Astyanax mexicanus: one gene and its partner. The protein of the gene in region 2 purifies or fractionates together with the protein of the main gene of each other region. This does not show direct contact. Links are inferred from orthologs where the notes say so. Each region holds a gene or a part of one and is shown on either strand. Other genes may lie near its edges.

Evidence for each region. Proteins that work in one complex are often made in the same cells at the same time.
Region 1: the proteins of ap1m2 (region 2) and ap1g1 purify together in Homo sapiens (affinity purification with mass spectrometry; 4 studies listed by BioGRID and IntAct, counting the BioPlex papers as one, with this or other methods). This does not show direct contact. The link is inferred for Astyanax mexicanus from reciprocal best matches to the Homo sapiens genes AP1M2 and AP1G1.

Annotation. Positions count from the first base shown.
Region 1 is NC_064423.1:38,501,212-38,509,116, forward strand, and holds the start of ap1g1 (AP-1 complex subunit gamma-1), read right to left. Parts: upstream 3,005-7,905; 5' UTR 2,866-3,004; intron 1-2,865. UniProt on the Homo sapiens protein: Subunit of clathrin-associated adaptor protein complex 1 that plays a role in protein sorting in the late-Golgi/trans-Golgi network (TGN) and/or endosomes.
Region 2 is NC_064412.1:31,905,112-31,913,026, forward strand, and holds the start of ap1m2 (AP-1 complex subunit mu-2), read right to left. Parts: upstream 3,017-7,915; 5' UTR 2,848-3,016; coding exon 2,806-2,847; intron 204-2,805; coding exon 47-203; intron 1-46. UniProt on the Homo sapiens protein: Subunit of clathrin-associated adaptor protein complex 1 that plays a role in protein sorting in the trans-Golgi network (TGN) and endosomes.

The DNA.
Region 1 (7,905 bases), on a different chromosome or scaffold from region 2:
TAGCTCGCTAGCAGGCCTTAGCTTAGCCTTAGACTAGCTCACTAGTTTGCTAGCTAGCTCCCTAGCTAGGCAGCTCACTCATTCCCACCTCTTTAAAGAAACTAGCTAGGCAGCCTAGATAGATAGGTAGGTAACTAGCTAGTTAAATAGGTGAGCTATATACCGATTAATTTAGCGGTAATACAATTGATTGACCTTCTTTCCTCGATTTGACATTTTCTCCTAGTTCTTAAGTTTCCTACTTTTTCAGTCACAGTGAAGTGTGCTTGAGTTAAAGATAAATAACTAACTAGCAAGCAATGCATCAAAGGAGCATAGCCAAGGATAGGATACAGAAAGGGATTAGATACAGTTCAATCAACCTGAATCCTGCTTAATAATGAAGAAAGCTGCAAGTCTGAAACCTTGATTCACATTTATATACATATATACTTACATAAAAAGGTTTATCAAGTATCAAGCTCAGCACAAGCTAGGTTTGTTTACAACTGGTTAGTTAGCTAGGTTAATCGATAAATTAACCTAATCACGAGCTAGGTTTTTCCACACATAATTCTGCATGTGTCCCTGTAAAACTTTAATATAGTCTTAAATATTAAGTTAACACTGTAAAAAAAAGATTTTAATTTGTTTCTTGAGATTGATGTGCTAATTTCCTGTAAATTGCAATGACTTTGAAACCAATAAAACATTAAATAACAAAGAAAGAAGACAAACTTGTAAGGCAACCTAGATAGTTAGACAGGTAGGTAACTAGCTAGTTAACTGGCCAGTTTAGCTAACTCTTTTAGCTAACTACAGTTTAAACAAAATTAATTAGGTAGTTAATACATTTGAGCTTCTTTCCTCAACTTTTCCTCCTAGTTCCCTAGTTTCTAGTTCTTCTTAGAGTGAAGTGTGCTTGACTTACAGATATCTAAACATAACTTACTAGCAAGACATAAAGGGAGAAACCTAACTAGGTTAGATAACGTTAACTAATGTCGTTGTTACCTCAGATGAAAGATCTCTTAAAAAGGAGAAATCTGCATGTTTGAACCCTTTCTTTTTTGTGAAAACTACATGACAAAGATCTTCAATGTGAGTAAACACTTATAACATTGCTATTTTAATGCTCAAAACCTGTTCCGTCACTTTAAATTACTTTAAAAAGGTGCACAATTGGGCCTCCAAAGGCTAGATAGCCTCCAAGCTACGTTGTCCACTCATTCCAACAGCTTAAGCTTTAAAAAGGCAAGTTAGGCAGTGGGGGTGGGCGATATGGCTCTAAAATAATATCACGATATTTCAGGGACTGTTTGGCAATAACAATATACTTGGTGATATAGAAAAACTAAAATAATTCATTAATTTCAGGAATATAGTATAATAGTATAATCATAATGTGGCAAAATAAATAATATAGCATTAGATAATATAATGCCGCAAATAATACAGCAGAAAATTTAGTGCATGCATATGAACTGCAAACTAAAACAATTATACAATAAACACACTTAAAGCTTTGGAGTAAATAATAGACTACTTTTAAGACAGAACAGCCCAATTATCACGATATGAATTTTTAATATCATGATATTTCTGTGTCATGGTATTAGCCAGATAACTAGCTGGTTATATGCGTTGGCTAACTTAGATACTTCAGCTAACTAAGTTACATCTCAAAAACGGATTAATTTAGCGGTTAAAACATTTTCTTGACCTTTTCCTCAACTTGACGTTTCCTCCTAGCTCATAGTTCCCAAGTTCTTGTCAGAGTGAAGTGTTTCATTGCTCTTTTAATGCTAAAAAACTTTTTTTTTTTTTTTTTTTTGCTTTATGTTACCTGGTAAGCTACAAGGCCTCAGCTTAGGCAAGCTCAGTAGTTAGCTAACTAGTTCCCTAGCTCGACTGTTCACTAAAAAGACTACTTAGGCAGCCTAGGCAGTCAGCTACCTAGTAGTAAACTAGGCTAGCTAACCTAACGCTACCTTCTTCAACTTACTGCAGTTTAAAAACGGATTAATTCATTTATTGCCCTTCTTTTCTCAACTTGACGTTTCCTCCTTGTTTCTAGTTCTTGTCAGAGAGAAGTGTGCTTAATAGCAAGCTAGCTAACCTAGATAGCTACCTAGCAAGGCCTCAAGGGACCATAGCTAAAGACTGGATACGAATTAGCCAGCTAACTAACCGAGCAACCTAACTACCTAGGCAGGCTATCTAGCTAACGTTACATTACCCGGATGGCAGCTGCCTTTTATTATGAAGAAAGCTGCAAGTTTTAAAGCTAATTTTACACGAATTTATTTATATATGCATGTTTAAAAGGTTTAAATATACGTAGCAAGCTAAGCACAAGCTAGGTTTGTCAGTATGGACACGCCTGATGCCCAATCAGAGGCTTTCCTAGCAAATCCAGTCCGTGAAGTGACACTCCGCGCCGGAATTTCGTTCTAACTACATCGACGGGTCGGCTGCAGCTGAACTGCAGCATATCCGTTTACGCAGTTAGAACGAAACGCCGGAACTGGATTTTCAATCCACGGATCTGGATTAGCCACGGCCACTCATTGCTCGCTATTTTCACCGATTTATCTCACTAAGCACGCGTTTTAAAGTGTACAAAACTGCACCCTCGCCTACTCAACCTTCTCCGACTCGTGCCGTTAAGTTTGTGACTCGCTAAACGCCGTTCTTGAGTTTTTTAAACCTGTAATAAACGTTACTCGCCTTAGCTGCTCTACTTCCCGAGCCCCCTTACTCAGCCTTTACAGCCGCGGACAGTGTTAAAATAGCGCCGTTTCGAGGCGGCCCGGGAAGCCGCGAGCTCCATTACCGTCCTAACGGGTCTTTTATCGCTGTGGTTCCGAAAGACACCGTACTCACCAGCCGTACTGACACCAGGAAAGCGCTGGAATCGTCTCTGTTTGCGACGGAGGGAGGAACGGACCAGACATTCAAAATGGCGGCGGCCCTAGCCTCAGCACTTCTACTGCAGGCGGAAGGATACAGCGCGGAATCGTCTCCCACCGAACTTCAAGGTGGAAGCAGCGCGCGCGCGCATGCACACATGCACGCGCAGGCAGGAAGGACAGCACACATATATTATACACACAGATACATAGATAATTACAAATATATTACATGTATTTTATTATTTATTCTACCAATAATAATAGTTATAAAATGTTATTGTATCATATTTCAGTATTAAATATATTTTAAATTAATTTAATTTGATATAAGATATTGTGTACAATTATAGAATTAGTAAATTCCTCTAAATTCAAGTTTAAAATATTCACTTTTGCATGGTTATATATATATATATATATATATATATATATATATATATATATATATATATATATATACCCATGCAAAAGTGAATATTTTAAACAAAAAAAACGATTAATTATACAATTATGTATAATTATTTAATAATTATACAATTATTAAAAAAAAGCAATCAATTATACTGATATACTGAATATTTCAAGATAATCGTGCATCTATAGTTTTAAGTGATTTAATGTGCTAAAACGGTCTTATTGTACTGGCAAATAATATTGCTTACTCCAGGAAATAACTGATAATATTTTACTTTTAGTCAAGACATAATGATGAAACAGACACAACAATCTGCCATAGAATAAGACACTTTCAGTAGTTTAAATTATTCAGTAGATTAAATTACTTAAAATGTTATATATATATATATATATATATATATATATATATAAAAGATTTTAAGTAATTTATATATTATTTTAAGTAGTTATATATATATATATATATATATAACATTTTAAGTAATTTAATCTACTGAATAATTTAAACTACTGAAAGTGTCTTATTCTATGGCAGATTGTTGTGTCTGTTTCATCATTATGTCTTGACTAAAAGTAAAATATTATCAGTTATTTCCTGGAGTAAGCAATATTATTTGCCAGTACAATAAGACCGTTTTAGCACATTAAATCACTTAAAACTATAGATGCACGATGATCTTGGAATATTCAGTATATCAGTATAATTGATTGCTTTTTTAAGAACAATATGTGAAATTTCTCATTTTGCATGGTTGTCAGAATTTTAGAAAAAAAAGACATACATTGCCAGTCGTTTGGACACATCTTCTCATTGTTCTCATTGTCTCATTGTCACATCTTCTCACAATGTTGTTATTTTTCTTTCCTTTCTCTACATTGTAAATGAATATTGAAGTGATTCAAACTATGAAGGAAAACATAAGGAATCATGTAGTAATTTAAAAGTGTTAAACAAACCTGTGAAAAAGCATTTAGGTGCTCTTATCTGGGGAGCTGTTAACTTGTGGTTTCTGAGGATGGTAACTCTGATTAACGCATCCTGTACAACAGAGGGAACTCTTGCTTTTCCTTTCCTGGGGCGGTCCTGATGAGTATCAGTTCCATCATAATGTTTTTTTGCGACTGCACTTGAGGATTCTTTCAAAGTCCTTGAAATGTTTTGAATTGACTGACCTTCATTTCTTCTTAAAGTCATTTTTTTCTTTATTTAGTTGAGTAGTCTTTAGTCTTCACTATTTACAACTGATGCTCTCAAACACATTAAGAGACAAGAAATTCAAGTAATTAACTCTTGATGAGTTCAGCACAGCTGTTAACTGAAAGCCTGAAATCCAGGTGAATCTACCTCATAAAGCTGACTGAAAAAATCCAGCAGAGATGTGTGAAGTTGTTATCTAATCAAGAAGAGCTACATTAACAAATCTAAAATTTAAAACATATTCTGGTTTGTTTAATACATTTTTGTTTACTAAATAATTTAATATGTTTTTCTTCATAATTTGGATATTTGCATTTTAGAATAATCAAAAGTTATTGCATTTCTAAACTATTTTCCTTAAGTACTTATCATAAACTTTAAAAGGATTAAGCGACGCTGGTCATTCTACTACAATGGGCTGTGCTACTTTTAAATCCATTTATTTTAGGTAGTGTTTAATTTTTTTTAATTAGTTTCAGTACATATACTGCTTTATTTAATTTAATAATTAAAAATTAGGGTTTAAAGCTGTTAACAGTGTATTTAAGAAAAAAATGGCTAAGTAAATCTGAAACCAAAAAATGTGAAAACAAAATTCTCAGGAGAAACCCTTAATTGTATTGTATCTGCATCGGCAGATACATAAATGTATAATATCGTATATAAGCATCGGCCCCCGAAATTCGAAACATCAGAAACATCTGTGCATCTCTACTTAAAACAAGTACAAGGAAATTAAAAATAAGTTATTAATTACTGCAATGTTACTTTAATAATATCAGAGTAAGAAATGTTATTAATTTAGATTTATATTTTTTGCAGTATGTATAGCATTAATTATTGTGAATAAATAAAAAGAATTATATAAAAATAGTCTATGTTTATACATTAAATGCCCAGAATTTAGAATTAAAAAAATGGTGTATATTTAATACACTAATAGCTTTGGAAATGAACATTTTTTAAAATCAATTTTCAAAGCTAATTTTATTTGCATTGATTCGGGCCAGCTGTAAGCTGTTTACCAATTAACTGTTCGCTAAAGCTCACCCCTCTTTTTTAAATTAGATTTTTCAGGTTTTTTTTTTTTTTTTTACAATACACCTTTACAATATACTAATATTTTGTACACTAGATGTTGTACCATTTCCAGGGAAAATAATTGGGGGTGTTCTAAAACTTTTGACCGGTAGTCTATAATAATAAATAATTATTAATAAATAGAAAAGAACAGTCATTTGAACAATGTTATTTATAATAATAATATTTCTAATATTCTTAAATAAATGTACATACATAGGATAGAAACAATACAATTAACAACATTAAACAGCACTTACATGACTGCAGGAACATCCTTACTGAAGCTCAAACTGGTTAAACTGGGTTAAATTTTTACCATAATCAACCTGACCAAGCTAAATAACCAGTATAATCAAACTTCACCAAATCTGGTTTACCAGCAAGACCAAGCATGACAAAAAGTCAACCTTAAATGATTAAGTGGCACCAGTGAGCTGAGCTTTACTTTAGTTTCTTGTAATGAATTCTGCTAATTGCACTTGGATTTAAACAAATAAAGCATGACTAATATTTATGACTAATCATTCATGGCTACTGATATGATACATGCTGTACATTTATGGTGAATAAATAATAAACAGCAAAACCGCTTGCCAAAGAAAAATCACCATAACCTTTTAGAAATTACAGACTCTTTCAGTTTAAAACAATTCTCAGACTTTTAACATATTCTACTTTAGCTAATTCTTCGTTATTAATATGACATTTCTGGCAAGAACAAACAAATTCACAGATAATTGCGTATGTTTTGTGTCTTTACTTAGAATGCATTATAATGCATGTAAGAGAAACTTTAGAATTATAGTTTTCACCACAGCTTCCAAAAGAAAACGTACAAATATTGCTCACATCACAATATTTAATCAACACAGAACTGCACAGATTAAATATTACAGAGAATTTTTATTATATTTATTTAATTTTTTCTGAATTCATCTCTCTAAATAATCAACTCTATACTCTGATTTTTATAATACAATATATAGAAGGAATCAACCAATCTTTCAATAACAGCAATATATAGATATTAAATAGGAAATAAGTAGATAATATAATATACAGTATATTATACATTATCAGTCAAATGTTTGGAAACACCTTACATTCAGTGGCAAAATAAATTGAAGATTAATATTATTAATATTAAGTCATTAAAAATATGATTTTTTTCAAAAAGATTTTTCAAAGTAGCACCTCTTGCTTAGATGACAGCTTTCCACATTTTGCATCACACAATGGCTTTCAGTTAACAGCTGTGCTGAACTCGTCAAGAGTTAATTACTTGAATTTCTTGTCTCTTAATAAAGTGTTTGAGAGCATCAGTTAAAGTAAAGTAGTGAAGAGGTAGAGTTACAGGTATACAGTGAATAGTGAATATTGAGTAATGTTCGAATCCAGATTATGAGAAGCAAGAACTACTCAGCTAAATAAACAAAAAAATTATTTAAGAAATGAAGGTCAGTCAATCCAAAACATTTCAAGAACTTTGAAAGAATCCCGAAGTGCAGTCGCAAAAAAAAAAAAAAATTGTCGGTTCAACATGATGAAACTGGCTCTCATCAGGACCACCTCAGGAAAGGAAGAACAAGAGTTTCTTCTGTTCTACAGGATCATTTCATTACAGTTACCAACCTCAGAAACCAACCAGCAAGTTAATAGCTCCCCAGATGAGAGTAAGGGTTTGTTAAACACTATTAAGTTACTACATGATTCCTTATGTGTTCCTTCATAGTACTGGATGACTTCAGTATTCATTTACTATGTAGGAGAAAAAAATATATAGCTGTTTTTATGATTATTATTATTATTATTATTGGACTAATCTAAGGAACTAAATAAAATTACATAACAGATAAAATAAATAGTTTCTTTTTTTCATTAATTTATTTATTTATTCCACATATACAAACAGAGAAAATATATTATTCACGTCAACTATACACCAGTTTATACCTTAAACTCGTGCAGTATATAGAGTATTTAGTGTATTTTGTGTCTGTTATTATGTCACTATAATAAAGTGACAGACCAGGAAGCTACAGTTATCCACCTGTCTGTTTATAATATAGAACTCCAGTGATTTATCACCGTAAATCACGTTTAAACCGGGTAAATTATCTGCAGGGTTGAGCTGTTGCACAGTTTTATTATTTGTACGTGTTTTAAGATCTAACCTATTAACGATAAGTAATGAGTTCAGCGCTGCTGGTGCTACGTGTCAGTTCGGCGGAGGACTAACAGGCGCTGGAGGGCGGTGCTGCGGCCTGCGCCTAACCTCGTGGCAGTGTATGATGACGCCATCCAGCAGTGTTG
Region 2 (7,915 bases):
AATTATGATAAATTTGATATGATAAACTGGGCAAAATTAAGGATACAGTACAGGTTGCTGTGCTTGATCCACATGAAGTGGACGCTGCCATGTGAAATAACAGGGCACATGAGCCCCTCCTCTTCCTGTTGCATCAGCAGGGGAAGGAAGTGGTCTATTTCGGCCATGTCCACATCGCCTTTGTAGTTGCGACATATCAACACCTGTAGTGTGAGAAGGAAGAAAAGGGAAAGGGATGGAGGTTTAAAAATAGTTTGACCAGATACAGAAAAAAAGTTCAGCCATAACATTAAAACTACTGATGAATCAATGAGAATAACATGGATTATGTGGTTCCAGTGGCTCCTATCAAGGTTAGCACTTTAATATAATATATTAAGCAGCAAGTGTTTAGTCACTGATGCTCATGGAGGTTCCACCTCACAACTTACAGGACTAAGGATCTGTTCCTACTGTGTTGATGCCTGTTTCCTCACAGGAAACCATCAGAGGTCTTGTGGACATCATGCCTCAAAGGGTCAGAGCTGTTGTGGCGGCATAAGGGGGGGCCTATGAAATATGAGCTCTTCCATGAGACTAGACCAAACGGCTCTTCATTTCTCACATTTCCCTCACCTGTTGTCAGTTCACAGGTTTTCTTTTCCTTGAGAAATATTGGGAAGGTACTGACTACTGCATATCAGAAGCATTCCACCTAATGACCTGCCTGATATTTTGGAGATGTTCTGACACAGGCCTCAATCATCTAGCTATCAAAATTCTCCTTTAAAAGTGCCTTAAATAGTTATGCCTACCCTTTTTTCTGCTTTAAACAGAAATACTTTTAAAAACTGATTGTTCTCCTATAGATGGGGGATATTACTGATAAACCAAATAGAAATGCTTATACTAAAATAAATGACATAATATTACAATAAATATTTAATGAGATGACAACAAAATTTAAAGGAGTAATCCAGTGTGAAATGGACTTGAGTTGTAGTAAAACTTGATAACGTGTCATGAACAAATGTTTGTTTAAAAAAAACACCTCCATTTACTCCCAGCATTCCAAAAAACAGAGCTTTTAGCCGATGGTGACAACAAGCTTAGAATGCTAGTGATAGGGGTATGGCCTTGCCCATGCAAAAACATCACTATTTTTTTTTACAACATTAAAAAGCTTAAAGTAGCTCCACACTTCATTGGTAAAATTCCAAGGGCCCTGGCATTTAAAATCAAGGCACTAAGAAATGTAAAAGTGCACAGATAGTGTTATAAAAACAAAACACTGTTCATACACACAGTACCTTCAGGGTGCCACCGTCTTAAAATTAAAAGTCACAATGAGTCTAGTAATAAGCACAAACATATAGGTAGGATAAAATAACAGATTGTAAAAGTAATTAGGTGGAAATGCATTCATTATAAAAAAAATATTCATGCATTTCTAAAATTAATTTTGCTCCCCTGTTCTGTTCCCAAATCCAATCTATTCATTCATCAGTCACCTTTTCCTGACTTAGTTTTAGGATGCAGTGCCCAAAGAAATACCTCACAGTTCTGTGTGTATAAACAATAATTTTTAATGAACTGGCTGTGCACTTTAAATGCCTATCAAATGGCATTGGTTTTAACCCTCTATGGCATGAATTTAAATTTGGGCGAAAAACGACATATCACACCACTATTTGGGAACCTTTTTTAGACCATTTTTAAATTTAGATAACCTGATAAACTGATTATTTACATCATCACTTCGTTATCATGGTGGCCCTAATAAAATAGATCTGCATAATGTTACAAATGAAAAAAATGTAAGAAAATATTCAGCCAAATATACTTCTTTAAAGATTTTTGCACATGCATTCACTGTGACATTGTTTCAATAAGCTTCTGCAATTTCAATCCAGTGTTGCATTCATTTTTCACCAAGATGTTGCAGCAGCATTGATGATGGTAGAGTCTGACCGCTGCACAAAGCCTTCTCCAGCACATCCCAAAGATTCTCAATGAGGTTAAGGTCTGGACTCTGTGGTGAACAATCCATGTGTGAAAATGATGATCTCATGCTCCCTGAATCACTTTTTACACTTCCAGCCCCATGAATCCTGACATTGTCATCTTGGAATATGTCCGTGCCATCAGGAAAGAAAAAATCCACTGATGGAATAACCTGGTCTATATTCAGTATATTCAGGTAGTCAGTTGACCTCATTCTTTCAGCACATACTGTTGCTGAACCCAAACCTGACCAACTGCAGTATTAACCCCACATCATTTACTTAGTTAAATCCAGGTGGCGACTGTTTTTTTGGCTAGACAGTGTAGATATGAGTTTTAACAATATATATAAAAAAATAAAAGAATACATATGGTGTAATAGGGTTATTTGACTCATAATGATGTTGAATCCCTTTTGTGCTATATTCATATCAACAGAAATGAATGTGTCTTAGCTAAACATGTCTATGTAAAATCTGACATGCCCATGCTGCGTTTGCAAAATATCAAGATTTTTATTCATATCTTCCTGATCTAAACTGTAGTAAACAGTAGTTAGGCCGTGTCACAGGTCAGACATGTATCAGCAGCTCGCTAATATAAACAGTAAACAGCCAGGCTTCTGAATGAAGGTTAGGTCACAGTCAGGGTTCAGGAGTTTCAGGACTGAACCGTCAGTTCTAGACTACATTGGGTTTAAACTCAGTGTAAAAAGCTAAAACACAAACACACACACTCCACGTATACACGTACACACGAACTACCTAGGCCTGTCCTGATTGGTAGTCAGTCAGTCCAGTTTTATCCGTTTACTGGCCTCACCTTGCCTTTAAGGTCCAACACGAACACTGCAGAAGCGGACATGACCCAAAGTCCAATCCGGATTAAAGCGCCTCTCACCAAACACAGTGTGAACAGCCGGTTTAATAACGAGACAAAGCCCAGAACGAGTCCATGAACTGGGTTAATTTAGCTCTCGGGCTGATCATGGACTCCTCGGTTCCTTTTTCCTCATGTAGAGCGCTGACGTCACGCCGTGTAACGCCAGGTAACACATTGACAGGAGATAAAGGCGCTCACCTGGGCTCCGGTGCAGCTGCGCCACGCGGCCGTGACCGCAGGGGGGCGCTGCTGCATTACTCAAATACTGCCTCAATACAAGCGAACATTATTTATATTAATGTAAATTGATAAACAACCAAAATACTAAGATTAAGTGATAAGATATTATTTAGAAATGAGACTGTGAATTACTATAGTTCAATAAAATTATTCCAGAAAAACGTAATTATTAGTTAACGGTCTATGGGATAATTATTACTCTTATCCAATTAGTAGTGAAACATCACCAAATAAATATAATGTAGAGTATACCAATACATTACTTCTATATTATCTACATTATATATGTTATTAAAATACTGAAAATCATTTTTATTTACATTTTTATTTTTATTAATATTTATTAAGATTTTTAATATTATTTATTAATATTTTATTTACTTTATTTCCTGCAGAATTTTATAATTTGTTGTTATTACTAAAACAAACAAAAAAATAAGATCATATCAGCTTGTTTAGTTAAAGTAGATTATGTCATAAAGGTTTAATAATTTTATAATAAGGTTTATAATTTTATAAATATAACAGGTTCCAGATTTATTCCCTTAATTTACAGTTACACTTGCACTTCCCCCCTTTAGGTGTGACCTTACAGATTAGTTCAAGGCTAAGCTTAATTGAGCCCTTGCCACAGATAACCATATATCAAATATTTTTAACTTTTGGGATAAATCAGTTTTTCTTTCTTTTTTTTCATTTGAAAAAAATATAAGCTCTGTTTAGACTTATATTTATTAATTTATAAAAAAAAAAGCATAAAGTAAAACAATGTACAAATTTATTGATTACTCCTAAAAGAAAGTAATGGTTGAAATATACAATAGTTATTGAAAAAAAGAGCCAGATTTTTTTATTTCATGCATGTTTCCAGTTACAATTAAATAATATTATAATCTATGATGTAATCTTTAACTGCAAGTATTTGCATACTATGTATGTGGTATACATTTCATATTCTTCACAACAAATTTTAAGGTTCAGTCAATAACCTGGAAATGGTACAAAATCCACTGTTTAAAATTGTGCAGTAAACTGGCAGAAAACAAATAAACTAACAGAAAAAAGTGGTGGTGATTTCTAGCAAACAAATTAGCAAACAGCAGCAGGTAAGTAGCAAAGTAAATAAACTAAACTTTGAAAATGGATAAAAAATAAAATAAATGTAAAAAGCCTTTGTCTGTAGTAAAGCAGTATTGGGAGAGATTGTGTTACTGCACTCTCTACTGCAGCATTTACACACTTACACACAGCACATTCACATCTTTATCATAATAACTAGAAAAAGACACAGAAACATATATAATTCTGTAACTATTAAAAGTATAAGTCTGTTCTTTAGATAAATTATAGATGAAGCCAAAAAACAGTGAGTCATGTTTCCTACACCTTCAAAAAAGCCCTGAAAACTGGAGACAGAAAAGTGGTACAGGAAGTGGTCTGCCTGACCCACATGGCAACGTCTTTTGCTCAGCTTAACATTAATCTCAGTTTCAGCAGTGAAAAGAAGAATTAGACGTCTGACAGGTGAAGTGCAGAAATAAAGTTATTGATAAGATAAGAAAATATAATAGCAGCTTCTCTGGGCCATACAGCACTACTGGACTACTCAAAAAAGGGATGTTCCAAAACTTTTTACTGGTAGTTATGTTATGGTTATGTTTTAGGGCCTATTGGTTGGGCCCAGCAGCTTATACTCTATGTAAATAAGCCCTGGCTTCCTCTGAATCCTCTGACCCACATAGGAGAATTTGACTAGAGGTGTCAATCACACTCACATCATCTGGGCTCTTATGTAAAGCAGCTCGTAAAAATAGTGGAACCCGCTTTGGTCGTATTTAGAACTTTTTCATCTTCAAGAGGTTCTCTTTTCCAGCACAGGGCTAACTGGAAATGTTATTTATGAAATATTCTAATAACATTGTATAACAAACTATTATTATATCCTTTATTAACATTTCTGGAACATAATTTCTGCAACGTTTCAAGCTAACCTTTCTAGAACCTTTTCAAAACCTTGCTGAAAGATCGTATAACATTTTTGGTTAGCTGGGACGCTAGGCCACATCTACAAGTTTTATAATTTATTTTAATGCTGAAGCCTCTAATCCAAGTTTATAACTCAATATAGGATGTGAATTATGACTTTATGACCAAAAATAGATACAAAGGTTATATAAGATACCCAAGGTAAAACAAACAAAGAGCCAGTCAGCTTATCTGTATGCTTTGCTGTGTGTTATCCACTGGGTGGATCAAGGATGTTTCTTTATGATCTCAATATTTAGATTCAGCCCAGAGGCAAGCTTTGGAAAAAATGAAGAGACCACTTCAGTTTGTGACTCAGTTTCTCTGATTTTGCTATTTATAGGTATATGTTTGATAAAATGAAAGTTGTTGTTTTATTCTATAAACTACAGACAAAATTTCTCTCAAATTTCAAATACAAATATTGTCATTTAGAGCATTTATTTGCAGAAAATGAATGAGAAATGGCTGAAATAACAAAAAAGATGCAGCTTTCAGGCCTCAAATAATGCAAAGAAAACAAGTTCAAATACATCAAATTTTAGGAGTTTAGAAATCAATATTTGGTGGAATAACCAAATTAACAGTTTTAATGCATCTTGGTATGTTCTCCTCCACCAGTCTTACACACTACGTTTGGGTAACTTTATGCCACTCCTGGTTCAAAAATATTGATTATATTCCAGAGGTTTTCAATTCGGTAAAATCTAAGAAACTCATAATTTTTAGATGGTCTCTTATTTTTTCCAGAGCTGTTTATATATCGGAAGGGGTCTAAATATTCTAATTAACGATATCCGAGTCTTTCCTCTAAAATATTTTTCCATCTAAAATATTAATTTGAAAAAGAGTGGTCTGGTAGGTTTGTTGGCTGCAGTTATTTTCTATATTTTAACAACATTTCATAAATGAACAAAAAAAAAGCAAACGATACACTTCAAAATAAAGCATTTTACAAAGCAATTAATTTACATTAATCTACATTTAAAATAAAAAAAATTAAAACTCTTACACATGCATGTGCAGTTACACATTTCCACCAGAGAGGTTTCTCATTCCACAAATCCCCCAAAAGCTCATATTTTTCATTAACTTCAACATTAACTTTTGACTTCGCCTATAAAGTCACCATTTCGGACATACACAGTTTTCATCATACATCAAAAACGTTAAGACTATATTGCAAGATTTAAATTTTGCTCTGTTTATTAAGAGAACAAAATTTAACATTACCTTCATTTTAGATATAAATCAATATTATTACAATCCACCAGAATGTTTAGCATCATGCAGTTGTTATCAATGACAAAATATAAGAATGTTCTCAATAGCTTAGTCTGCTCCCAGTTTCCCAGTACTGTGTATTCATTATGTGGGGTGAGTTCAGCAATGGAGGGTTATCAAGCTCTATTCTTTAGAATTTCATCATAACGTGTCCAGGACAATGCCCTCTTTGAAGCACTGGATGTTTGAACTGTGAAATCGAGCTTTATCTTCTTTAGATATCTGTATTGGGTGTATTACAGAATGTTCCAGTAGATCTGGCACAGTCTGTAGTGTTGGTTTGGACGGCTGTGTTAGATGTGGTAAGTTTCTGTCTCTCTCTGTATGACTTTGTTTAACTACTCAGACAGTGGTGCTTGAACATTTGTGAGCCTTTAAGAATTTCTGCATAAATATGCCCCAAAACATAAAGAGAAGCCAGCTAAACAAATGCGACAAACATATTATACTTGGTAATTTATTTATTGAGGAAAATAATCCAGTAATACAATTTTTTGGGAGTGGCAAAAGTATGTGAACCTCTAGGATTAGCAGTCAGTTTGAAGGCGAAATTAGAGTCGGGTGTTTTCAATTAATTGGATGACAATCAGGTGTGAATGGGCAGAGCCTGTTTTATGTAAATAACAGGGACCTATTTAAGTCTGCTCTTCACAGCACATGGTTGTTTGTGGACGTGTATCATAGCTTGAACAAATAAGATTTCTGAGGACCTCAGAAAAACAATCGTTGATGTTCATCGGGCTGAAAAATGAGTTTGGACTCCACCAAACTCCAGTCAAACAGATTGTGTACAAATGGAAGAAATTCAAGACCATTTTTACCCCCCCAGAAGTAGACGACCAACAAATATCACTCCAAGAGCAAGGTGTGTAATAGTCGGCGAGGTCACAAAGGACCCCAGGGTAACTTCTAAGCAACTGAAGGCCTCTCTCACATATGCTCATGTTTATGATAAGAGTCCGCCATCAGGAGAACACTGAACAACAATGGGCTGGGTTGCAATGATGGAGTCACTGTTTTCCAAAAAGAACATTGTTGCTTGTCTGCAGTTTGACAGTAGATCCAGTCTACATTGTTGTGTTTACACATAAAGAATCAGCAGATTTCTATATTTCCACTGTGCATTTTGATGATCCAGTAAAACTATGGCCTCTTAACTTCCTGATAAGGATTATAATAAATTATAGCTAGTAGTGACTATGAGCCAAATTAAAAGGGTTTGTTTGACACACTCACTGAACTGGCCAGCATAAAAGACGTTTTTAATGAGGAGACCAGCCACTGACTGCAATATGAATAAGGTTTCTGGTTATGATTATCATGGCCTCTGTTTACAGATAAAATCTTGCCTTTCAACAAAAAGAGCCAATCAAATTGCTGCTTATGCTGCGAGTGGAAGATTGAGGTTTTTGTCAGATTTTATCATTTTATGATGTAAAATGTTTTTATAAAATGGTAATTATACCTTCAGTTTCCAGTATTTTGGTCTCTCTCCAAACAG